2 linked regions of the Elephas maximus indicus genome follow. The protein of the gene in region 1 interacts with the protein of each later gene in a pairwise test. Links are inferred from orthologs where the notes say so. Each region holds a gene or a part of one and is shown in the gene's direction. Other genes may lie near its edges. The genes, in order: LONRF1 and TRIM42.

Region 1 (12,585 bases):
TTTTAGCATGCTGCACAAGGGTGGGACAAGATAATATCGTAAGAAAGGAGCAATTACTTAGGATCCTAAGGCAATAAGGTGTTTTATCTCTTTTCCTGAAATATGGTGACTTTCTAGCCTTGCAGTATGTTACTGCGGATATGCTCACAAGTCAAGAGGGAAGAAGATGGGTTTCTCTGTCCCCAGTTTAGATACAGAAATATCTGTCATTTCCTTAGGTACTGTGCAGTCACTATTTCACAATCAACTCACCATTCCCACCCCATTGTTGAAAACCGGTTGTCTTTTCTTACATATTTTGTGGCATATTTATTTATATTTATATTTTTGGCAACATTAGAAACCCTTGGAAAATGAGTGAACTTCCCGAACTTCACAAAGGCAATTCTCAGAAGGATAAAGCTAAAGAGGGCCATAGTCTTCTCCTCTCCAGCCCCTTCCCTCTCCTTTAGGGGCAGTGATTATACAGAATTTACCCATACAATGGCCTATCGGGCAGCAGTTAAAAAGAATGCCTTAGGTCTGTATATGTTGTTGTTGTTGACTGGGTTCCAACTTATGGTAACCTTGGTTATCACAGAAGGGAACGTTGCCCAGTCCTGTGCCATCCTCGTATGTTTGAGTCAGCCATTGTGGCCACTGCGTCAGTCCATCTCATCAAGGGTCTCTCTTGTTTTCACTGGCCCTCTACTTTACCAAACATGATGTCCTTTTCTAATGGTTGCTCTTTCCTGATGACGTGTCCAAAACAAGCCAGTTGACGTCTCAGCATTCTCGCTTGTAAGGAACATTCATTCTGGTTGCATTTCCTCAAAGACTGATTTGTTCATTCTCTTGGCAATCCACACTATACTTACTATACTTTGCAGTTTAAACACATCAATTCTCCTTCTCTTTTCCTATTTCATTGTCTAGCTTTTGAATGCACATGACGGAACCATGCGTGAAAAGACCATGACTTGGGTCAAACACACCTTAGTCATCAAAGTGACATCTGTGCTTTTTAAAACTTTAAAGAGATCTTTTGCAGCAGATTTGTCCAACGGAATACATCATTTCATTTCTCGATGCTGCTTCCACAGACGTTGACTGTTGATCCGAGCAGAATCAAATCACTGACGATGTCAATGTTTTCTCCAGTTCTGTGTGCACCATTATAAACATCAGACCTTAAAGAAACCAAACGATACAACTAGCACGGCACCTAAAACAGTACCTGACATATGTTGTTGTTGTTAGGTGCTGTCAGGCCAATTTTCAACTCAAGTGACCCTATGTGACAGGATAGAACTGCCCCATAAGATTTTCTAGGCTCAGCTGCTAACCAAAAGGTCAGCAGTCCTATAGGGTCACAATGAGTCAGAATTGACTCGATGACAATGGGTTTGGGTTTAATCTTTATGGGAGTAGATTACCAGGTATTTATCTGGTCAAGACGCTGCGTGAATTCAAATTGTCAGCCTTTTGGTTAGCAGTCAAGCACTTAAACATTGTGGCACCAGGGCTCCCGACACATGGTAATTTCTTATTCTGATAGTTGTAAAGGAATGAATATCTACAGCGGCATAGTGTCCAGCATCCCAGCAACACATGAGCCACCACAGTGTGACAAACAGACCACGGTTGCTACTTACAGTGAAGGGGTTGTAATAGATATTTCTAAAGTTCCTTCCAGCTCAGGGAGACTGTAATCTCTGAACAAATTTTGATAATTCTGATAATTTTCCAGTGGAAAATGAAGGCAATTTGGGCCCCTGAAGTGAAATCTCATATTTTGTATTTGAAAAAACCAAAACACTTACAGGCTCACCATGGGAGTGGTGGGCCCTGCCCTGGGTTCTTTCCTGTCCTGGGGGAGACGGGCTGCCCTCAGTTGGCTGTGTGGTCTTGCTGTGTTTGGGGTCGGGGGAAACAGACCATGTCTCTGCCCTGAGGACAAAAAGGGCTCTGTTGCACGGCAGGTCACACCGGGGCCTGGTGCAGGCCCCAGAGGGAGACAGCAGTTGTGGATTGAGGTTGAAGCCCAGGGGTCACTGAAGTGAAGGCATCAAGAAACAGAGGCTGTGGTGAAGGGCGTGTAGGGTTGTAAAGTGTGTAGGGCAGGAAGCGCAAAGGCCTTGAGCTATGAACCTTGGTGAAGAGGCTAGTGAGCCTGGAGAGGAGTGAGGAACAAGGATACCAGGGGGAGGTGAGATCAGAGGTGGAGGGTGGAGGCAGACTTAAGCGCCGACTTCTGCGTCACAGCTGGGACTGCAGATTGTCTCCTGAGCTGTGTTTTGGAGAGCAAGGGAGTTTATGCTTTAAGATGATCACAGTTCCTGACTTGACAATGGAACAGAGGGAGAAATGAGAGAAACAGAGGCCAGGCAGGAGTCTGTGGCAGTAATTCAATTGGTAGATGCTGGTAGCCTGGAACAGGGAGGTGGCAGCGGAGAGGAGAGAAGAGACTGACTCTGGGTATATTCTGAAGGTAGAACCAAAAGGATTTTCTGGCAGACCAGATGTTCAGTGTGAGAGACAGAGAGGAGAAATGGAGGAAATAAAATTGTACCAGTGTGTTAATCCACCACCGTCTGTCAGTTTGTCATTCTGTAGAGGCTTCTGTGTTGCTACAATGCTGGAAGCTACGCCACTGGTATTTCAAATACCAGCAGGGTCACCCATGGTGGACAGGTTTCAGCACAGCTTCCAGACTAAGACTAGGAAGAAAGGCCTGGTGATCTGCTTCTGAAAATTAGCCAATGACAACCTTATGGATCACAATAGAACATTGTTAGATTTGCTTGCTTTGGACACATCACTGGAGAGGGACGTTGTGTTTGGTGAAGTGGAGGTCCAATGAGGGCAAGGAAGACCCTCAGTGGGATGGATTGGCACAGTAGCAGGACTAATGGACTCGAACATGCCAGTGATTGTAAGGATGACACAAGACCAAGCAGCATTTTGTTCTGTTGCACATAAGGTCACCAAGGGTTGCAGTCAATGCAATGGCAACTAACAACAACAACAACAACAGTATGTTAGTGAGTTTTCGTCACTAAGAAGAATGAAGAGTACTAGGTGATGTCTTTAATTTGTGTAGCTATTAGTTCAACAGTGATTCTCTACTATCTTCCCCATGCCCTAGGTGTTAGAAACCCATTGGTGAACATGATGGGCAGGACTTTACATTCTTAAGGAAGAAAAATACATATAAATGTCAGATGACATTAGTGCCAAAGGGTGGAAAATACAAGGCAAGAAAACAGGAAGCACTGGGAGATTTTATTCATCAGTTCTTAGAACTTGCTAAAATAATGGGATGTATTCCTTTGTCTATTTCCGTTTAACATCTTAATATTTGCAAATGCATTCATCTTCTCGATTTGACTCCCAACAAAACAGAAGACAGGATGTTCTTGTTGTTATTAGCTGCTGTCACGTCGAGCCCTGATTGAGGGCAGCCCCATGGACAACCGAATCAGATCATTGTGACCCATAGGATTTTTTCATCCACTGATTTTTCAGAAGTATATCACCAGTCTTTTTTCTCCAGAATATAGCATATGCATTTAGTATACCTAGATTCTTCAGAGTGTTAAAGAAGAATTCAGAATAGTATCCTTGGTAAGGGTATTGTCCCTTGAGCATTTTCACAGTATCCCTTGTGGGATAACAGTGTAGTTTAACAGTGAGCTGTACTTGGTGAGACAGAAGTCATTGTAAGAAATTAAGTTTAGGCTTCTACTTACCATCACCTCTATTTAACCTATTCAGGTTATCCTCATTCGGGCTCTTTGCTGAGAACACCATTATAGCAATCATATACTGTGTATTTTTAGCATCTTATATAAACTTTCTCACAAATGCCCAGATTATATAACCAGCCACTCCTCCCCCCAGAGGCTTACCTTCAGCCTCTCACAGATCTACAGTAGGGACAAGGAGGGGGGTGTGTGTGTGTGTGTACGTGCACGTGTGAGTGATCCCTATCCAACCACTGAAAAAATTTACGTTCCAGAGTTTGATTTCCCCTCTGCTGAGCAGGGCTGAGAGCTCGCTAAAAACAAGTGTGCTCCTTGGTTCCCTCGTCTATTCTCAGCCTTCATCTTCTGCTGTTACATTTTCATCAGGTGTCACATTGCTGTGTTCCTGAGTCTGGGAGGCTCTGCCTCTTCTCACTGGATTCCGACAAATTCCTGGGGCTCAGCTCCAGAGGTGCAAGGGACCTTAGAGATCCTTCCAGTTCCCTCAGATGGCAAATGAAGCCCAGCGAAGCCAGGTGAGCTCCTCCCAGGTACAGAGGCATCAATACGGTCAGCACCACGTCCGGATGCCCTCTTCGGTATGCCTTCTAGTAAACCAGCAGCTTCTCGGATCTTAGCTGTCTCCTGTATAAAATGAGGGCTGTGAAGAGGTGGTCTCAATGCCCCTCCCATCTGTATATATAAAAACACTATTGGTATGTACTGATGAAACTTTAGAGTTCACTGTTTTCAATATATCGTGTAGAATGTTATCCACTGAAATGAACCAGAGGAAGTGGAGGTAATTTTGCTTGGCTCTTTTTCTTCATAGCTTAAACTCAGTCTCCCCTTTTTAAAGATAAGATGTGAAGAAACAAATGATAAATTCACCCATGTAAAAAAAAAGAGGTTCCAATGCACATGTTCGGCTAACTTATGTACAAGGAAAGCCCTGTTACATTACTGCTAAATAGAGTTTACTTTAACTACATCAGAACGGTCTTCTTGTGGCGTGGTGGTGGGGGGTGGGGGACAGGGATAAGCAGGAAGGATGGTGATAAGCATTTTCCAAATTAGGAAACAGTTACGTGTTTCTTGGTACTCTCTTACATAACTGATCTCATTTTAGAAGACAACACTAAAAAAACTGAGATGAAATACAAATCTCCTGATTTCACTGCTTTGTGAGCAAAGAATATCAGGAGAGAATAATGCTGGAAGGAAAAAGAGGCAGAGCTTCGCCCCGTCACTCTCCTCCTGGCCAAGCGCTGCTTCACAGAATTTCCTCCTCTCCCCAGTGAGTCAGAAACCAAAGTCTAAATTTTAGAAAATGAATGAAGAAAGACACCAACTTCTCTCTCTTTTGAATTTAAACAGAAACCACATTCAACTGCATATCTCTTTTGGGTGACACAGAATAACTGGAGAATGACCCGTTCTATCGCCGAGACATCGCCGAGACTGCCTTGCCCCACACTGACTTGCGGCTTCAGAGGGAAGGTGTGCGAGGCACACAGACCACAGCAGCAGCACAGCCTCTTACATAAATAAGTTACATAAATGCGAAGGAGTTATGTAAATGTATAAACCAGAAAACATCAATTGTAACCATTCACAAATGCCAAGGAGAACATGGCTAGATTCCTCCTACAGCCCCCCCCCCTTTTTCTCACATTCTCATAATTGTGCCATTTTATTTCACAACAGAATTAGATTTGGAGATTTGTCATACTTATGAGGGAAAGAAACTCCAAAGGACAAATGCTACTTCACAGTCTTTTCTGAATCACACATTTGACTTTGGGGGGAAATTCCCTAATACAACCGGAGTAATCTGTATTTGGTAATTTATGCATATGTATCAATGTCTTATACTCCTTGTGTGACCATAAAAACATCTATTTATTAAATATTTACCACTGTACATTGTTGCAAGTTGCTCTTGATGACAAGAATGCACCCTAAAAGTTAATGTTCACAAGCATAGGGATATTTTTTCTGGGACTTACGGTTTCAAGTCTCAAATGAGTGTGTGGGCATCTGACTAACGTCATTGTTTTGCTAATTGAGAGAAGGTAGCAATGTAAAGAGTTGGGATTAGATTTGAGGTTATGATCATGAATTAATCACACTAACCCCTTCCCCCAAATAATTAGGAGTTGCCATTTTTTTTTTTATAAACCCTGGTGGATACCCCGGTGGCATAGTGGTTAAGTGCTACGGCTGCTAAACAAAAGTTTAGCAGTTCGAATCCACCAGGCGTTCCTTGGAAACTCTATGGGGCAGTTCTACTCTGAATCGACTCAATGGCAGTGGGTTTGGTTTTAGTGGGTTATAAACCCTGGTGGCTTAGTGGTTAAGAACTACAGCTGCTAACCAAAAGGTCGGTAGTTCGAATACACCAGGTACTCCTTGGAAACTTTATGAATGTAGTTCTGCTCTCTGCCCTATACGGTCACTGTGAGTCAGAATTGACTGGACAGCTATGAGTTTTATTTTTTATAGGGTTGCTATGAGTTGGAATCAACTCGATGGCAATGGGTTTTTTTTGGGGGGGGGGCTTAGCCATAATTTGCTTTGGGTGCCACGTGAATGATAACTGAACTTGCTTTCCTCTGCACTGGGTTGAAGCAGGAGCCTCAACTTTTTCTCAGTCAACTCTTCTTCCTCATACCTTCTGGGGAAACAGAGCTACACCTTCTCTGAAATTACATGATTTGCTCAGTGTGTAGTAAAAACAAACGGGATTGAAAACGTGGTTTTGAGTCCTAACTGCTGTTGTGTGTAGAGGGGTATTAATTAAATATTAGCCAATTTCAGACAAAGCATGCTCAGGTTAACATTCCAGTAAGCAACTCCCTTTACTTTGGAAATCTCGTGTAAATTATTTCTAGAATCTAACGTAGGAACATAATAGTGGAATGAGAATTAGATGACCTTAAAACCTCTGTAGAATATTAGCCGTGTGATTTGGGGCAAATAACTTCCCCTCTCTGGGCCACCATTTTCCATTTGAAAAAGGACTAAAAGTTCTCCAGTCACTTCCGGCATTGACAATCTAGTATATAATCAAATCTATAAACGTTTTCAACTGAGAGCTTTAAACTTGCCACTGTCAAGTTTAATTAAAGTCAATATAACCCATTATATATAAATCAGGTCATTTTCTTCTGTTGTCAAAATGCAGACCCTGCTTGGGTCATAGTGATATAGTAACCCTGCCATATGAAAAGCATTTTTTCCTCATTTCTTTTTAAAACCACCCCCTATAGACCTTTTTTTTTTTTTATAGACCTTAGCCGGCACTGGGGGCAGTGACTGAGGTGTGGCGAATACAGCTGGCATACCAGAAACCTGTGGGCTTCCCCCCTCGAGCTAGGGGCTGGGTTTTAAACAGGAAAAGCAGTAACTTGGCATCAGGGCTAACTGCCTTGCTCTCTGGAGGGCAGTCGCCTTAGGAACGTGGCTGGTTTTGTTCGTTTGTTTCTAAAGTTTTGAGTCACCAAGTCATGCGGCTGACTTGACGCATCCCTAAGCCCTCTGCCTGTACATACCATCTGTAACTTGGGGCGTAAAGCAGAGCTGCACCTGACGACGGCCCCACCACGCGTGCAGGCTCCCACCAGCCAGGAATTGGGGGCGGATCCTCGGGTCCCCACCCAGGTGGGCGGGCGTGTCAGGGGAAGGTCGGTCCTTCAAGCCTCAGACCCGCGAGGCTGGCTGCCCGGCCGGAGGGCCGGCCGAGCAGGGGCTGGAGGAGAGACGAGGGCAGAGGGCCTAGCAGGTGGGGAAGTCCGGCGGTTAGGGAAGGGGAGGGAGGTCCTTTGTTCGCCAACAACTAGCCGGGCCCTTCTTTCCTCAGAAGCCAATTGGATCGGCGCTGGGGGATCATCTGACCTCGGTCCTCGCCAGCAGGGGCTCGCGAGGGGCGGGGGCCGCGCGGTCGGTTGTCGCCGGCCGAGGGGGAGCCGAGCCCGGCCCCGCCCCGCCCCGCCCCGCCCGGCCCGGCCCGGCCCGGCCCGGCCCGCCTCCGGGGCTTCCCGGGCGCGCGCTGCCCGCCGTGTCCGCGCGCCACGCCCCCCTGCTCGCGGGCCGCGTGCGGAGCCGCGCGCCCCGGAGGCTCCGGGAGCGGGGCGGCGGCGGCGGCGGCGGAGCAGCAGCCGTCCGCGGGCCATGTCGTCTCCGGCGGTGGCGAGGAGCGGCCCGGGGGGGAGCCGCGAGGTGGCCCCCCGGCGCTGGGCAGTGGGCGGCGGCAGCGGCGAGCGGCTGGAGCGCGGGGAGCTGCTGCTGCGCCGCGGCGAGCTGCTGGCGCTGGGCGGCCACCTGAAGGGAGCGCTGGAGGCGTACTCTGCGGCGCTGCGCCGCGGGGCCCCCGGCAGGCCCGAGCGCCTCGGCACCTTGGTGGACTGCCTGGTGCTCAACTACCGGCTCCGGCACGGGCTGCGCTGGAGCGCGGCCCCGGCTGCGGGCGCCCAGGCCGGCGCCGCCGGGCTCCTGAGCTGCCTGGGCTGCCGGGGCTTCCTGAGCGAGCCGGTGACCGTGCCCTGTGGCCACAGCTACTGCCGCCGCTGCCTGCGGAGAGAGCTCCGCGCCCACTGCCGCCTCTGCCGGGCCCGCCTGCCGGCCGCCGGTGCCCAGGGGCCGCCGCCCCCGGCCGCCGCCTCGGGCTTCAGGACCAGCGTCGTCCTCAACCACCTGGCCGAGAAGTGGTTCCCGGGCCTGCGGGAGAGGGCCCGGGCGGCCGGCCGGCTCGGGGAGCTGCTGCAGCAGGGGCGCTACCGGGAGGCCCTGGCCGCCGCCTGCGAGGCGCTGCGAGCAGGTGACCGCGGGGAGCGGCGCGGCCCGGCCCGCCCTCCCTCCTCTCCCGTCTCCGGCCCCTCGGGTCCCGGGGTCCGCGCGGGTGTGGGAGGGGCGGCGCCCCGGAGTGCTTCGGTCACAATGGGGATCGCCCTCGGAGCCGACTGTGACGCGGCGCGGGGAGGGGCGCACGGGCGCGGAGTTCCCTCGCCGGCTCCCTCGGCCAGCGGCCACCGCCGGGCGTCCGGAGCGGAGCGGGGGCCCGGGGCCGAGGCGGCCGAGCGCGCGGTGGGCAGGGAGGTGGGCCAGCCCGAGCGGCCGCCCGCTTCCTGCCGCGCTTTCCGGGAATTGGCCGCCGCCGCGCGGGCCCTGGGGAGCCCGCCGCGGGGAACGACAGCCGGGGCGGGAGAGGCCCCCACCCGCGGCCAGGCGTGCAACGTTTACCTTCTTCTCCCACAAAAGTCACCCGGGCAATGGGAGCCGCGGGAGGGCGGAATTGCATAAGCTTGGGGGGGGGGGGAGTTGTGTAACGGGTGACGTCCGGTGGGCGTGGCGGGAGCTCCTCTGGCTCCGGCACCCCAAGGCTCCCCTGCCGGGCCCCGGCTTCGGGCGATGCAGGCGCTGGCCGGGGCGGCCACCCCTTGCCTGAAAACGCCTTCAAAATTGGTCGCTCTTCTTGAAGGTTTCCACCTTCCTGTTTCAATTCATCTATTTCATATACGCATATGTTTGTTTTCGAATGCACCTAGCTCGTCGTTGTAAAGACAGAGGCAGCCTTTGATGGAGTACTTTGCCATGCTTTTGTGTGCCTTTCCACTCTTGATCAAACTGTGGGGAGAGCTTTGTAGCTCTGTTGTCTGTTTCTTCATCCCCTGGAAGCTGCTTCTGTCTTCTAACTTAGGCTAACACTTTGCTTAAGGTACCCTTAGTCTGCTGGAAGGAAGCAATGGCCAACGCCCCTCCGTAAAATGAGGTGTTCTTCTAAGTCGATGTTTCTCAGTTGGAGGCAGCTGGAGGGGGGGTTCTTCAGGACAGTTGGCCACCAGGATAGACTTTTGGTTGTCATAACTTGGGCTGGCACTGGTGGTACTAACATCTAGTTGATTAAAGTCAGTATGCTGCTAAGCATCACAGGACAACCACCCACCACAAAGAATTATCACGCCCCACATGTCAGTAGTGGCGCTGTTGATAAGCCTTGTGTTATATAAGCGTATTTCAAGAGTTTAGTGTCTATATATTGGAGTAAGGAGCCCTGGTGGTGCAGGTGCTTAAGTGCTGGACTGCTGACCCGAAAGGTGGGAGGTGAGCGATTGGAACCCACCAGCCACTGTTGGGGAGAAGATGTGGCAGTCTGCTTCCATAAAGATTATAGCCTTGGAAACCCTATTGTCCTATAGGGTCCTGATAAGTCAGGGTCACTGTGAGTCAGAGCTGACTCAACGGCAATGGGTTTGGTTTTGTTTGGATTTGTATATTGGAAAGGAATAATACTTAGGTGCGTATTTCCAAGAAAATAAGAAGACATTTAAAATACAATGTTAGGAATTAGGTAAATTTATGAACGATGTACCTGAAAGTCTATTCTGGTTCGTCTTTTCCCTAAGTGCTTAGTCATTTTGAACTAGTGACAATAACTTGAATAATTTAACACTTTCAGGGTTCAAAGCGCAAAGTCAACATATTTCCATTTTCGTTCAGTATCGTTTTGAAGAGTAGGCACTTAGAAAATAGAACGATAGACTCAGAACAGATGACATCTATCTGGAGTACAGAATTCGTGTATGCAGGGCTCTGCCTCTTGGAGGGGCTAGAGGGAGAGTGGGGAGTGATAGACTCAGAACAAATGACATCTATCTGGAGTACAGAATTCGTGTGCGCAGGGCTCTGCCTCTCGGTGGGGCTAGAGGGAGAGTGGGGAAGCTGGTCTCAGCTGTGCAGCCCATGTAGTATCTCGCCATGGGCCTCATTTTAAAAAGGAAGAAGCAGGAGCCTGGCAGTGAAATGGCTGGTCCACACCCACGCAGCTAGCAGGTCTCCTAACTGTTCTGCTCAGTGTTGGTCCTCTTCTCCTAAATGTTGGTCCAGGATCCATAGCTGCCTTTGTAGCTCATCCAATAAAAATGTTTAATATAAATTTCCAAAAAAGTTTTTTTTTTTGGTCACCAGTATAATTTTTTGAGCATAAATTAAGAGGATGCAACTTACCAACAGCACTATTCAGTATTAACTACTACTGAACTAATGATTATAACCTTCTCTTAAGTTAATAAGTGTACATTCTTGCATCCCTTGAATTCTTAGGGCGAAGTAGGACAAAGTCTTAGAGCCAACAAATGAGTTGATAAAGTGCAGACAGTGTGCTTCACAGTTTATGGGCATAAATAAAAACATTAACTAGTAAAATCATATATTTGTACAATTGTTAGATTTCTTGAGAGTTGATTAGATAACCAAAACCAAACACGTGGTTGTCGAGTCGATTCTGACACATAGTGACCCTATAGGACAGAGTAGAACTGCCCCATAGGGTTTCCAAGGAGCGCCAGGTGGATTTGAACTGCTGACCTTTTGATCTTTTGATAGACATTTGAAATTTATTTATTGTACTGTTGTAGCTATTTAATAATACTTTCATTATTAATAATGAAGGCCTTCACTATAACTTATTCATAGAATTGTTGTAATGTAACAAGTAAATACTAGCTAGAAAGAAAAAAATCGCCTCTGCAGTTAGCCCACACATGATTAATCCGTCAACCAGAAGGTTTGAAAACCTTTGCCAAAATCACAAGTTTCCCATTGAGATTACATAAGTTTCTGTTGCATTGAGGTATATTTAGAAAACATTTAATCCATTGATCTTTTGGTATTAACTCTCAGATGTTTCGTAACTTTCTGCCTTCTTAGTGTTCAAGGATGTTATGTAAAAGTCTTTTCTACATTGAATCTTTAGACTTAACAAGAGTCTATTGAAATGATCCCACAATGCTATGTTGTTTGCAATTTATTTTAAATGGATTTTTACACTGACTTGGCACCTCCCTGTATACACCCCTTTCCCCCCCCAAAAGGCAACAAAGCAGCATAATTTACAGCTCGAGCCAGTTTTTAAAAAATACAGGACCTTAGGGAGAACATTTTATGTAAAATTCTTAAAACCCAGTGCCCTTGAGCCGATTCCGACTCATAGCGACCCTATAGGACAGAGCAGAACTGCCCTGTAGAGTTTCCAAGGAGTGCCTGGTAGATTTGAACTGCTGGCCTTTTGGTTAGCAGCTGCAGCACTTAACCACTAGGCCACCAGAGTTTCCATGTAAAATTCTTGGGGAGGGAAATTTTTGTCTTTAATGTTAATTATATAGTCCTTGACTCTTACCAAGTATTGTTACATTGTTTATATCATTTGATCCTCACACAGAATCCTGGGCAGTCTTATCCTTACAGCAAAATTGAGGCACCCCAAGATTGCTGTGCAGTACAGCTTGGTGATGAGAGCTGTGGATGCTGGAAGCCACCTACCTAGTTTTCAGTCTTACTGCAGCCTGCCACTAGCTCTCAGACCTTGGGCCAGCTGTCTGACCTCTCCTTATTGTGGTTTTCTCATTTAAAAAGAGACAATTGTATCTACCTCATAGAATTGCTTTGAGAATTGTATCAAAGCACATGAAACGCTTTGAATGGTGCCTGACACAGTAAAAGCACTAAATAGGAATTAAAATATTTTTAAAATGTACAAGCTGTGCTGCAGCTAGCTGAGTTAAAATGTAGACCTTAGTGATTTCACATCTTGTCCTTTTCTCTCTCCCACATTCATGGTATTTATTACCAGAACGATGGTTAAATCCTGACCTTGCCTGCACATGTTATTTAGTACAGGTAGTCCTCCATTTGCAACGTATTTGTGTGAAGGCAAACTGCACTTAATGACTTTTTTTTTTTTAGTGAATTTATTGTTGGCAATATGTACTACATACAGTGTGGCAGCGTGTAATTTGCCGATGTTATTCTCAGATGTTCACTCTTAGATGTTTATAGGTAATGTTTCCAACCCCCAAAGACA
Region 2 (13,016 bases), on another chromosome or scaffold:
GGAGCAACTGGATATCCACATGCAAAAAAATCAAGTTGGAACCCTACCTCATAACACATATAAAAATTAACTCAATATGGATCAAAGACCTAAGTGTAAAAGCTAAAAATATAAAACTCTTAGAAAACAACATAGGTATACATCTTCACACCTTTGGATTAGGGAATGGATTCTTAAATGACACCAAAAGTACAAGCAACATCAAAAAAAAAATAGAGAAATTGGACTATATCAAAATTTAAAACTTATGTGCTCCAACAATACTATCAAAAAAGTAAAAAGATGGCCCACAGAATGGAAAAAATATTTGCAAAACATATATTGATAAAAGTCTAGTACCCAGAATATATAAATAACTCTTACAACGATAAAAAACGACAAATAACCCAGTAAAAAACAAGAAATGGATCTTAATAGACATTTCTCCAGAAAAGATATACAAATGGCCAGTAAGAACATGAAAAGACTCTCAACATCATTAGGCTTCAGAGAATGGAAAAATCTAAATCTCAGTGAGATCCCATTTCATACCCACTATGATGACTGTGGAAACTCTCGTGGCATAGTGGCTAAGTGCTATGGCTGCTAACCAAAGGGTTGGCAGTTCGAATCCACCAGGCGCTCCTTGGAAACTCTGTGGGGCAGTTCTACTATCCTATATGGTTGTTATGAGTCATAATCGACTTGATGGCAATGGATTTGTTTTTTGTTTTTTTTTTATGATGACTGTAAGGAACCCTGACAGCGTAGTGGTTAAAGTGATCGACTGCTAACTGAAAGGTCGGTGATTCAAAACCACCAGTGGTTCTGTGGGAGAAAGATGTGGCAGTCTGCTTCCATAGAGATTTACAGTCTTGGAAACCCTATGGGATTGCTATAAGTCAGAACTGACTCAACAGCAGCAGGTTTGGTTTTTGGCTGGGTTGACTATAATGAAAAAAAAAAATAGCAAGTTTTGGGAGGATGCAGAGATACTAGAACTCTCACGCATTCCTGGTGGTAATGCAAAATGGTACAGCTGATTTGTAAAACAGTTTGGCAGTTCCTCAAAAAGTTATAGTGTTATCGTATGACCTAGTAATTCCACTCCTAGGTGTATGTATACCCCAGAGAAATGAAAACATATGTTTACACAAAAACATGTATGTGAACGTTTATCGCAATATTACAATAGTGAAAAAGTGGAAACAATCCATTGCCCATCAAGTGATGAATGGATAAACAAAATGTAGTCTATCCATATGTCATGGATTGAATTGTGTCTCCCCACCACCACCACCAAACTATGTGTCAACTTAGCTAGGCTCTGATTTCCATTATTGTATGGCTGTGCCCCATTTTGTGATTTGATGTAATTATCCTCCATTTTGTGATGTGTTGTAAATCCTAACCTCTATATGTTAATGGTCAGACCAGACGAGTTGTGGAATGACATCAAGGATAGCATACATGAAGAAAGCAAGAAGTCATTGAAAAGACAGGAAGAAAAGAAAGACCAAGACAGATGTCAGAGGAGACTCTAAAATTTGCTCTCGAATGTTGAGCAGCTAAAGCAAAAGGAAGAAATGATGAAGTAAAAGAACTGAACAGAAGATTTCAAAGGGCTACTCAAGAAGACTAAGGGAAGTATTATAATGACACGTGAAAAGACCTGGAGATAGAAAACCAAAAAGGAAGAACACGCTCAGCGTTTCTCAAGCTGAAAGAACTGAAGAAACAATTCTAGCGTTGAGGTGCAAAAGTGAAGGATTCTACAGGGAAAATATGAAACGACGCAGGAAGCATCAAAAGAAGATGGAAGGAATATACAGAGTCATTATACCAAAAATAGTTAGTCAATGTTCAAACATTTCAAGAGGTAGCATATGATCAGGAACTAATGGTACTGAAGGAATAAGTCCGAGCTGCACTGAAGGCACTGGCAGAAAACAAGGCTCCGGGAACTGACGGAATATCAATTGAGATGTTTCAACAAACGGATGCAGCACTGGAAACGCTCACTCATCTACGACAAGAAATACGGAAGACAGCTTCCTGGCTGACTGGAAGAGATCCATATTTACACCTATTCCCAAGAAAGGTGATCCAACCGAATGTGGAAATTATAGAACAATATCATTAATATCACATGCAAGCAAAATTTAGCTGAAGATCATTCAAAAACGGCTGCAGTAGTATATCAACAGGGAACTGCCAGAAATTCAGGCTGGTTTCAGAAGGGGATATGGAACCAGGGATATCATTGCTGATGTCAGATGGATCCGGGCTGAAAGCACAGAATACCAGAAGGATGTTTACCTGTGTTTTATTGACTATGCAGAGGCATTCAACTGTGTGGATCATAACAAATTACGGAAAACATTGCAAAGAATGAGAATTCCCGAACACTTAATTGTGCTCATGAGGAACCTGTACATAGATCAAGAGGCAGTTGTTTGGACAGAACAAGAAGATACTGATTGGTTTAAAGTCAGGAAAGGTGTGCATCAGAGTTGCATTCTTTCACCATACCTATTCAATCTGTGTGCTGAACAAATAATTCGAGAAGCAGGACTATATGAAGAATGGGCATCAGGACTGAAGACTCATTAACAACCTGTATTATGCAGATGACACAACCTTGCCTGCTGAAAGTTAAGAGAACTTGAAGCACTTACTAATGAAGATGAAAGACCACAGCCTTCAGTATAGGTTACACCTCAACATAAAGAAAACAAAAATCCTTACAACTGGACCATAAACAACATCAGGATAAATGGAGAAAAGATTGAAGTTGTCAAGGATTTCATTTTACTCGGATCCACAATCAACACCCACGGAAGTGGCAGTCAAGAAATCAAAAGACACATTGCATCGGGCAAATCGGCTGCAAAAGACTTCTTTAACGTATTGAAAAGCAAAGATGTCATCTTGAAGACTAAGGTGCATCTGATCCAAGTTATGGTATTTTCAATTGCATCTTTATGCATGTGAAAGCTGGACAATGAATAAGGAATACCGAAGACGAACTGACACCTTTGAATTGTGGTGCTGCCAAAGAACACTGAATATACCGTGGACTGCCAAAAGAATGAGCAAAATCTGTCTTGGAAGAAGTACAACCAGAATGCTCCTTGGAAGCAAGGATGGAGAGACTGTGTCTTACATACTTCGGACATGTTGTCAGGAGGGATCAGTCCCCTGAGAAGGACATCATGCTTAGTAAAGTACAGGGTCAGCAGAAAAGAGGAAGACCTTCAGTGAGATGGATTGGCAGTGGCTGCAACAACAACCTCAAGCATAACAACAATTGTAAGGATGGCACAGGACCGGGCAGTGTCTCATTCTGTTGTGCATAGGGTCGCTATGAGTCGGTACCGACTCGACAGCATCTAACAACAACAAGAACATATGTTAATGAGGCAGGATTAGGTTATGTTAATGAGGAGTAGGTTATTTTTGTTAGGTTGATGAGGCAGGATTAGGGTCTTGAGTCAATCTCTTCTGAGATATAAAAGAGATTAAATAAGCAAGCGAGAAAGATATGAGGGAAGAGAGATACCACGCCACATGAAGATCGCCCAGGAGCAGAATTTAAGGAGACAAAAACTTTCCTCTAGAGCCAACAAAGGGCGAAAGCTTCCCCAAGAGCTGGCACCCTGAATTCAGACTTCTAACCTAAACTGTGAGAAAAGAAATTTCTGCTTGTTAAAGCCATCTACCTGTGGTACTTCTGGTATAGCAGCACTAGGTAACTAAGACACCATACAATAGAATATTATTTGGCCATGAAGTAATGAAACACTGATACATGCTACGACATAGATGAACCTAGAACACATAATGCTACGTGAAAAAAGTCGGACACAAAAGGTCATATGTTGTATAATTTCATTTCTATGAAATATCCTGAATATGCAAATCTACAGAAACAGAAGGTAGATTAATGGTTTCCAGGTGCTAGGGGAAGAGGGAACAGGGAGTGGCTGCTATTGGGTAGAGTTTCTTTTCAGGGTGATGAAATTAGATATGGTTCTGGAATTAGATATGATGATGGTTATGCAATCTTGTTAATATACTAAAAACCACTGAAATGTACGTTTTAAAATGGGAAACGTTATGGTATGTAATCATCTCAAAAAAAAAAAAAACAAGAGAAACCTTGCACAGACCAATGATGAAAATGAACCATATATCCAGGAGTAAAACTCAAACCTCTGTACCTGAAAGATGGGGAAGGATATTGGTAAAATTTAGTTTGGGCAAACGTGGGGAAAAGGTGTCTTCTCATACACTGGGTTGCTTTTTTTTTTCTTAATTGTGCTTTAGATGGAACTTTACAGAGCTAATTAGTTTCCCACTCAATGGTTTGTACATAAAGCGTTCTATGACATTGGTTGCATTCCCCCAATGTGTCCGCACTCTCCCCAATTCCACCCTGAGTTCCCAGTTTCCTTTCATCTGGATTTCTACCACCTCCTGCCTTCTCATTTTTGCTTTTGGGCAAATGTTGTCCTTTTGATCTCATATAATTGATACTTCTAAGGAACACATTCCTCTCAGGTGTTATTGTTTATTTTATGGGCCTGTCTATGGTTTGGCTGAAATGTGCTCTTTGGTAATGGCTTCAGTTCCAGGTCAGAAGGGTGTCTTAGGCCCATAACCTCAGATGTTCCTCCAGTCCCTGTCAGACCAGTAAGTCTGGTCTTTTTTGGTGAATTTGATTTTTTGTTCTACATTTTTTTCCCCACTCTGTCCAGGACCCTCTGTCGCAATGCTAGTCAGAATGATCAGTAGTGGTAGCTGGGCACCATCTAGTTCTTCCAGTCTTAGGGTCATGTAGGCTGTGGCTTATGTGGTCCGTTAGTCCTTTGGACTAATTGCTCACTGGAGTATTTGGTTTTCTTCGCTCTCCTTTTCCAGATGGGAAGAGATAATTAGTCGTATCTTAGATGGCTGTTCACAAGCTTTTAAGATCGCAGATGCTACTCACCAAAGTAGGATGCAGACAATTGTCATTATGAACTATGTTGTGTCAATTGAAGTAGATGTCCCCGAGTCTGTGGTCCTTCACCTTTAAGCCTAGGAACTTCATCGAGGTGTTTGGTTATGGCTAAGAAATTTCCATGACTGTGCCCCTTGTGTGCTCTATTGTCTATATTAACATACTTGCAGCACCTACAATTATATATGTAGAAATATCCACAACCAAACCTATATCTGCAGGGTAGGTGTGCTCCCTTACACCCCACCCCCCCACCTCTTTAGCATACTTATTTACCTGTGTATCCATTCATAGATTACTGTTAATACTATTGTTGCAGGATTATCTATGTTACAGTAATTACCGTAGGGGTCCTTAATTCTCGCATTCCTTTCAGTTTCTTCTTTTGCCTTGGTCGTGTTGTACTGACTTCCCTCATATTTTGTATTGCCTTTCCCTTCACCAATATTAACACGTGTCTTCTATTTTTCCCTCCTTCCCCCTCCCATCGGTGGTAATCATCAAAACAACGTGTGTGTGTAAATCTTTTCTTGTTTTTTTAACAGCGGTCTCATACGATATTTGTTCTTTTGAGATTGACTTATTTCACTCAGCGTAATGCCCTCCAAATTTATCCATGGTGGAAGATGTTTCGTGGATTCGTTATTCTTTATCATTGCCTAGTATTCCACCGTGTATACGTACCACAGTTTGTTTATTCATTCATCTACTGATGGGTACTTAGGTTGTTTCCATCTTTTTGCTATTGTGAATAATGCTGCAATGAACATGGCTGTGCATATATCTACTTGTGTCACAGCTCTTATTTCTTTAGGAGTGGGATTGCTGGATCATACGGTATTTCTATTTCTAGCTTTTTAAGGAAGTGTCATACTGTTTTCCATAGTGGCTGTACCATTTTACATTCCTACCAGCAGTGTAGAAGAGTTCCAATCTCCCCATAACCTCACCATCATTTATTATTTTCTGTGGTGTGTGTGTGTGTTTGTGTTTGGATTAGTCCCATTATTGTCGGAATGAGATGGTATCTCATTGTAGTTTTGATTTGCATCTAATGGTTAATGATCATGAGTGTTTCCTCCTGTGTTTGTTAGCCACCTGAATGTCTTCTCTGGTGAAGTGTCTGTTCATATCCCTCGCCCATTTTTTAACTGGATTGTTTCTCCTTTTGTTGCTGAGGCGTTGAAGTTTTCTATGAATTTTAGAGATTAGACCCTTGTCAGCTATATCACAGCCAAATTTTTTTTTTTCCCAGTCTATAGTAGGTTCTCTTTTGGAGAAGTCTTTTGATGAGTTTAACTGTTTAATTTTTAGGTCTCTCATACAGTGTTGCTGTCAGAATGTACTGGCACATACACTTTAACAAGCAATTTAATAATATCTATCAAAAAAGATAAAGTACATGTCCTATCACCCAGGATTTTTACTAGTAGGAATCTAGACTCAACATGTGGTTGGCACAGAGCACCCAGTGAATGCTCTTTCCTATTATGAATGTGATAATCATAAGAAGAGATAATAAATTATGCAAAAGACTCCTGCAGCTAAATTTCAACTCTTGCTTCTGCTTCGTTTTGGGAAAATAATAAGACAGTGTTTATATTACAGTGTGGTATAATCATGAAATGTCTGCTCTTTTAATTTCTGCAAGCTACATAAAGTAGAAATCTAAATTCTCCCCTATAATATAAGGTCTGGTTTCTAGGGATTCAGAGTATATATACTAGTAGAACAAGGAAACTTCAGCCCAGTTAAAGATTCTCATATGAAGTTCTAGTCTCTTGCTAATAGAGGTGCTGGGATGGGAGTAGACTGAGAGAAAGTAAACAGAGCTTGGGCCTCAGCCAGACTCCATCAAGCTGCAGAAAAACCAAGAAACACTCATAGTGACTTACACGTGAAACTAAAAAAAAAAAACAAAAAACCAAACCCATTGCTGTCGAGTCTGTTCCAGCTCATAGTGCCCCTATAGGACAGAGTAGAATTGCCCCATAGGGTTTCCAAGGAACGCCTGGTGGATGCCAACTGCCAACCTTTTGATTAGCAGCTGAACTTTTAACCATTATGCCACCAGGATTTCCGACTTATACTTGAAGCCTCATGAAAATCAGCAGCGATTATGCAGTGACTGACAAAACCATTAAGTATTGAAAGTGCCTAATTGTGCCTGTATCTGTTTTTTTCCTCTAATTCTTTCTCCAAATGATGATATCCCTTTAAGTGTGGCATTGCTAGTATTTGTAAACACTGTGTTCATCAAATGAAGAATTCTCTCTATGCAGAAAAAGCCCAAGGAGAGGAAAAACATGTCAGTCTACTTTCCCAATTAATTACACCCAGGCCTTGTAGCCCATGCAGACATACCTTGAAGTCAGCTTGCCCAAACTGCAAGCACAGCACTAAGCAAGGAGAAACAGCTTCTGAAATCCAGCCCATAAGCTGAAAGGCGACGAGTGACAGCTAAACCTTCAAAATGTCATTGTAACATCACTCCCCTGGAGCTGGTCTTGTGGAAGCATGGAGTGTCCATCAGTCCACCCGCTGCCATCCCCAACGTCTCACCCTCCTGCCCCACCTACACAGGGTGGTGAGATAATGGTGGGGAGACAGGGATTGTGACATAAGCAAAAAGCCTCAGGCTGATATGCGTAAATAACAGCCCATGAGCCTCCCAGTAGGGACATCACCTGTGAAGGCCTCCTAACAGCCAACCTGTTGCTGCCACCAAGCTGAAGCCTCATCAGGGGGAGGAGGGACCCCTCTACTGGAGAAGTAACAGCGGGACTCTGGTAGAGGAGGCGTCAAAAGTCCTAAGGGGCAGGCTGCCATCATGTAGGCACCATGGAGACTGCTATGTGTGTTTGCTCTCCATGTTGTACATGGCAGAGATGTTGTCCTCGGTTATGCTCCTGTCTGTGCTGCAAGTTCCTCTTCACCTCGGAGCGGAACTGCACCTGCTTCCCCTGCCCCTACAAGGACGAGCGAAACTGCCAATGCTGCCACTGCACCTGCTCCGAGAACCCCAACTGCCACTGGTGCTGCTGCTCTTGGGCCAACGACCCCAACTGCAAGTGCTGTTGCACGGCCAGCAGCAATCTCATGTGCCACTACTACGAGAGCCGCTGCTGCCGCAATGCCACCATCACGTTCAAGAAGGGCCGTCTCAAGAGCATCCGCACTTCGTAAGTGCCGGGCGTCTCCAATGTGGGGTCGCGCTGGCTCAGGACAACCAGGGGCCCTGTGCCAGCTGCGGGGCCCACAGGGCAGGCCAGGTACCCCCTGGGCCCACTTTTCCACCTGAAAAGAAAGAGACCAAGAATTTTGTAGTGATTAAATGTATCCTAAACAAGTGCTAACCACTTACAGACCTGAGTTCCAAATCCAAGCTCCACTAACTCCATGACCGAGTGCAGCACTGGCCCTCAGCCTCCTCATCTGTACACAGTGACAGTACCGTGGCTAATGCTGAGTGCGTCAGCAACTTGTCAGGCACTGCATGCAGGACCCCATTTAACCCTCCCATCATCTTCACTGTACCCATGGGGAAACCCAGCCTTTGAGAGGCTACGTTTCCCAGGATCATACAACAAGTAAGATGCAAAGTCAGGATTTGAACCTAGAGTCCATGCTCTTAACTTTTAAAAGGCCGTTCTGTAGAACGGAGAGAACAATACCTGCCATGATGTGGTGGGTATGAGGGCATGCTTTGTAACCTGTTATGTGATATAAAAACAGAAATTGCTCTTCCCCTTTCTCCTCTGAACTCTTGATATTGCCAACACTTACTGAGTAAGTGATGACTTTCAGCGGCCACTTTTAACTCCTATGGCTTATCTAGGTACCTTGGCACCTGTGACTCCTGCCAGCCTTTCCTTCTTTCCCATCCACAAGCCTTTACATTTAGGGTCTCAAGTACCCATCTGGGGTATTAACCCTCCATGCCAGGCATTCTGTATGTTCTTCTTAGTTTGGCCAAACCAGTCTTTTTATATCACAGATGAGCAGAGCACAGGGAAGTAAGGACAGACATCTTAGAGGAGGAAAGATGAAAGCTCATCCCTAGAAGGTGGCAGGACTTGGAGAGGCAGAGAAACGGGAGGCAGGATTGAGGCCTTTCAAGCCTGGAAAAGTACTTCTGTGCGCAAAGGTTCAGTGAATTCAGGGTAGAGGAGTGTGATCCATCTTGCAGTTACGCACATAGTAGACACTTAATGAACGTTACCCTTTACCCATGGACCTCTTATTGCTGTTTGCATGAATCCAGGGATTCTGCATGCAAGTCAGGAAGTTCTAGGGTGTGGAAAATTGTATCCACAAACCCCTTTCCTCTCAACTGCCCTGTTTTCTATGTATCAGCAAGAAAGAGTTTCTGAGCCCATTTCAGTGGAGTTGGGATGATATTGGCTGGTGCTTTGGGGAAATGACTCAGGCCAGTGACTTCCACACTTTGCTGTGCATTAGAATCACCTGGAGACAGGGACATACAGAAAATGCAAGAAGTCGAGGCAGAAAGGAACAGAGCCACAGGGTCAAGATCAAAATGTAATCCTTATCAATGTCAACGGGGGTAAAGGGATAGGTACAGCCACAAATTGTGTTTACCCCTCCATTCCCACAGCTAATTCATTTCTTTTCATACACTGCTTTTGCCCTGGTTGGAGCTTCTTAGAACACACACATGAATTTTACCAGTATGCTTTTACTTCACTCATAGTTCTTATGGTTAAATATAGGAAATCAGCCTCAGGCATTTGGCATAACGTAAGCAGACAAAGACTAAACACATACACCCAGAACAGTAGCAGCACACACTTTCCATGGACTTGACCACTGTTTTCCTCTACTGTGGACTTAGACAACTAGTAACAGAGGAAAGTAATTATAATGGGCACATTTACTGAAAGCTTACTACGTACCAGCAGTTCAGCACTTATCATGGATTATCTTATTTACGTTTTGTAAAAGTCTCATGACAGAAGCATTATTGTGAGCCTTGACTTACCAGTGAGGAAACTGAGGATGAGAGAGGTTAAGAAACTCATCCCAAAGGAGCAGCTCTAAGCTGGCACATTCCATCACATATAATCTTCCCCTAGAGCCCGGACTCTGAATTGTTACCTACTAGTCTGGTGGTTGGGACACACAGGTTCTTGGCTGTTGACGCCTGTCTACTACTGACCTCCTGATGTCCTGGGAAAAGCCCTTTACCTACCCTACTCTCTGTTCCATCCTATTGACAGTAATGATAATAATCTCAATACTCTCCAGGCAAAACCACCGATAACACACCTGTAGTTGTGGCGCAGTCGTTAAGCATTTGGCCACTTACCAAGAGGTCAGCAGTTTGAATCCACTAGCTGCTCTGTGGAAACCCTATGGGGCAGTTCCACTCTGTCCTATAGGGTCACTATTTGTTGGAATCGACTCGATGGCAACAGATTTTTTTAGCTGAACAAAAAATGGGTTTATTGACTCATTGCAACAACTGAGATCATATACCATGGGGAACTGTGTGGTAACTCCATAAAAGGACGTTAAAAAGTTACAGGATTTGGACTCATGTTAGGTGAGAACGTCGGTGTAAGTCTCTTATTGGATATCTTAATAAATCTTACCTTAAATGTGGAAAGAAGACAGCATAAAGCTGCAGTTGGGAAAGAAGTAGCAGTCACTCCACTCCTATTAGCCAGGGTAGGGGAATGTGTGGGCGTTTTTGTGGTTTGGACAATGTTGTTGGTTTTGTCTAAGTTCAGACATGACTGTGGAGTCGTCTTGTTTCTGTTTTGCTCCATCACAGTACCAGAGAGGCTTTGAATGATGTTGGTGCTCAGTGATATTATGTTCAACAGAAGAACACCAAGGTCTAACTGATAGCGCAGGCCAGGTCTGTTTGTCAGGGCCTGCTTTTCTCTTGTTCAAAAATAACAAGAGCAACAACAACGGCAGTTGTACAGCAGGCACTGTGTTCCAGGGACTTCTGTAAGTCCCTACGGGTATAAACTGCATTTCGGCTTTTCAAGAAAGGCTGTAACATGGTATTAGTTTTGTAATGAGGGAACAAGCAGAGAGGGGTTAACTCACTAACCTGAGGTCACCCAGCCAGCACGTGATGGAGGCATGTTTGGAACCCAGGCACTCTGTCCACTGAGTCCACGCACCTCACCTTCACACTGGACTGTTGTTCTGTGACCCCAAGGTCCTTTCAGGGCCCAAGGAACGGAGGGAGCTCTTGAGCCTGCCTCCTGAAGCCCTGTGTTTGCTTTCACTTTCAGTTCCAAGACCGCCTTGCGCATCGGAAGCAGCGATTCCCAAATTGAAGACATCACGAAGCAGATACCAGGAAAGAGCCACCTGGTCGACCATCTCACCTGCCCCATGTGCAACCGGCTGCGCCTGCACTCCTTCATGCTGCCCTGCAACCACTGCCTGTGCGAGAAGTGCCTGCGGCAGCTGCAGAAACACGCCGAGGTCACCGAGAACTTCTTCATCCTCATCTGCCCTGTGTGCGACCGCTCGCACTGCATGCCGTACACTCACAAGATGCAGCTGCCCGAGAACTACCTGCGCGGGCGCCTCACCAAGCGCTACATGCAGGAGCACGGCTACCTCAAGTGGCGTTTCGACCGCTCCACCGGGCCCATCCTCTGCCAGGTCTGCCGCAGCCGGCGCATCGCCTACAAGCGCTGCGTCACCTGCCGCCTCAACCTGTGCAACGACTGCCTCAAGACCTTCCATTCGGACGTGGCCATGCAGGACCACGTCTTCGTAGATACCAGCCCCGAGGACCAGGACGAGAAGATCTGCATCCACCACCCGTCCAGCCGCATCGTCGAGTACTGCCGTGGCGACAACCAGCTTCTCTGCCACTCCTGCAAGACTGCCTTGCACAACGGCCACGACACCATCAGCCTCATTGACGCCTGCTCCGAGAGGGCCGCTGCGCTCTTCAGCGCCATCGCCAAGTTCAAAGCAGGTCCTGGTCCCCTTCCAGTCCCCGCCCTCCGCCGGAATAACTAGTAGCTCAGGAACTGAGGGGGGAAATGGCTTGGGGCAGTCTGTTTAGTGAGAGATGTACCTCTACTTAGTGGAGCATCCCAAGTACTGGGAAACTCTGAGCTAACCCCAAATGCCACCAGCCATTTCACCTATCTGTGCCTGGGTTTTCCCATCTATGAAATGAGGACAATAGTAGTGATACCCTCGTTGGGTTGTTATATTAAGCTGGTTATCCTATGTGAAGCATACAGAAGAGTATCTGGCATATAATAAGCGCTCAAAATTCTGTCATCTTTGTTATTATCTTCATGTCCTCAGGACTCATTTTCCCCATTGAAAAATGAAGGGTTTGATCTCTTGGAACCTTGAGTTCTATAAACCTGTTGGAGGTAGGTATTTTTTTTACTAAAGTTGGATTTCTTCAGTACTTACCAACTTTGCTGGGGGAAAGAATTAAGTCAATGTTGGGAATTATCTCAACTTTAAGTTTTCCCCCATGAGTTTTTTCCCAAAAGTTGCAAACAAAGCAAGTGAGCCGGTAGCAAACATGTAATGACAAGGAAATTTGGAAATAGCCTATAATATTCTGTTTACAGCTTGTTTTTCCTCTGCATACCTGCTCATGGTTATTTCATGTTGTTGTTCGTTGTCATTGAGTCGATTTCGACTTATGGCAACCCGTGTATGAAGCAGTAGAGCTCCTCCAGAGGGTTTCCAAGACTGTGTGGCCTTTGGGAAGCAGATGACCAGGCCTGTCTTTTGAGGTACTCCTAGGTGGGTTTGAATCTCCAACCTTTTGGCTACTAATCAAGCATTTAACCATTTGTGTCTCTTGAGGACTCCTTATTTCTTATCAGCTATATATAATTTATTTAGTTTCTGTACGGGAAACTGACCCAAGTTTCCATGATGAAATCAGGTACAACAATATTTCACAAGGTTCAGAAAAGAGCTCCATGATTTCCAGGCACTTCTCCACCTGATTAATAGTCCTGAAGTACTACATCGGAATCCCCTCCATGAATAAGACAACCAG

Evidence for each region.
Region 2: the proteins of LONRF1 (region 1) and TRIM42 interact in binary tests that used the Homo sapiens proteins (3 or more experiments, as listed by UniProt). The two-hybrid records come from large-scale screens. The link is inferred for Elephas maximus indicus from reciprocal best matches to the Homo sapiens genes LONRF1 and TRIM42.

What each region holds. Positions count from the first base shown.
Region 1 is NC_064840.1:72,300,411-72,312,995, reverse strand, and holds the start of LONRF1 (LON peptidase N-terminal domain and RING finger protein 1), read left to right. Parts: upstream 1-7,824; 5' UTR 7,825-7,898; coding exon 7,899-8,544; intron 8,545-12,585.
Region 2 is NC_064841.1:18,929,528-18,942,543, reverse strand, and holds the start of TRIM42 (tripartite motif-containing protein 42), read left to right. Parts: upstream 1-7,825; coding exon 7,826-8,166; intron 8,167-11,256; coding exon 11,257-11,957; intron 11,958-13,016.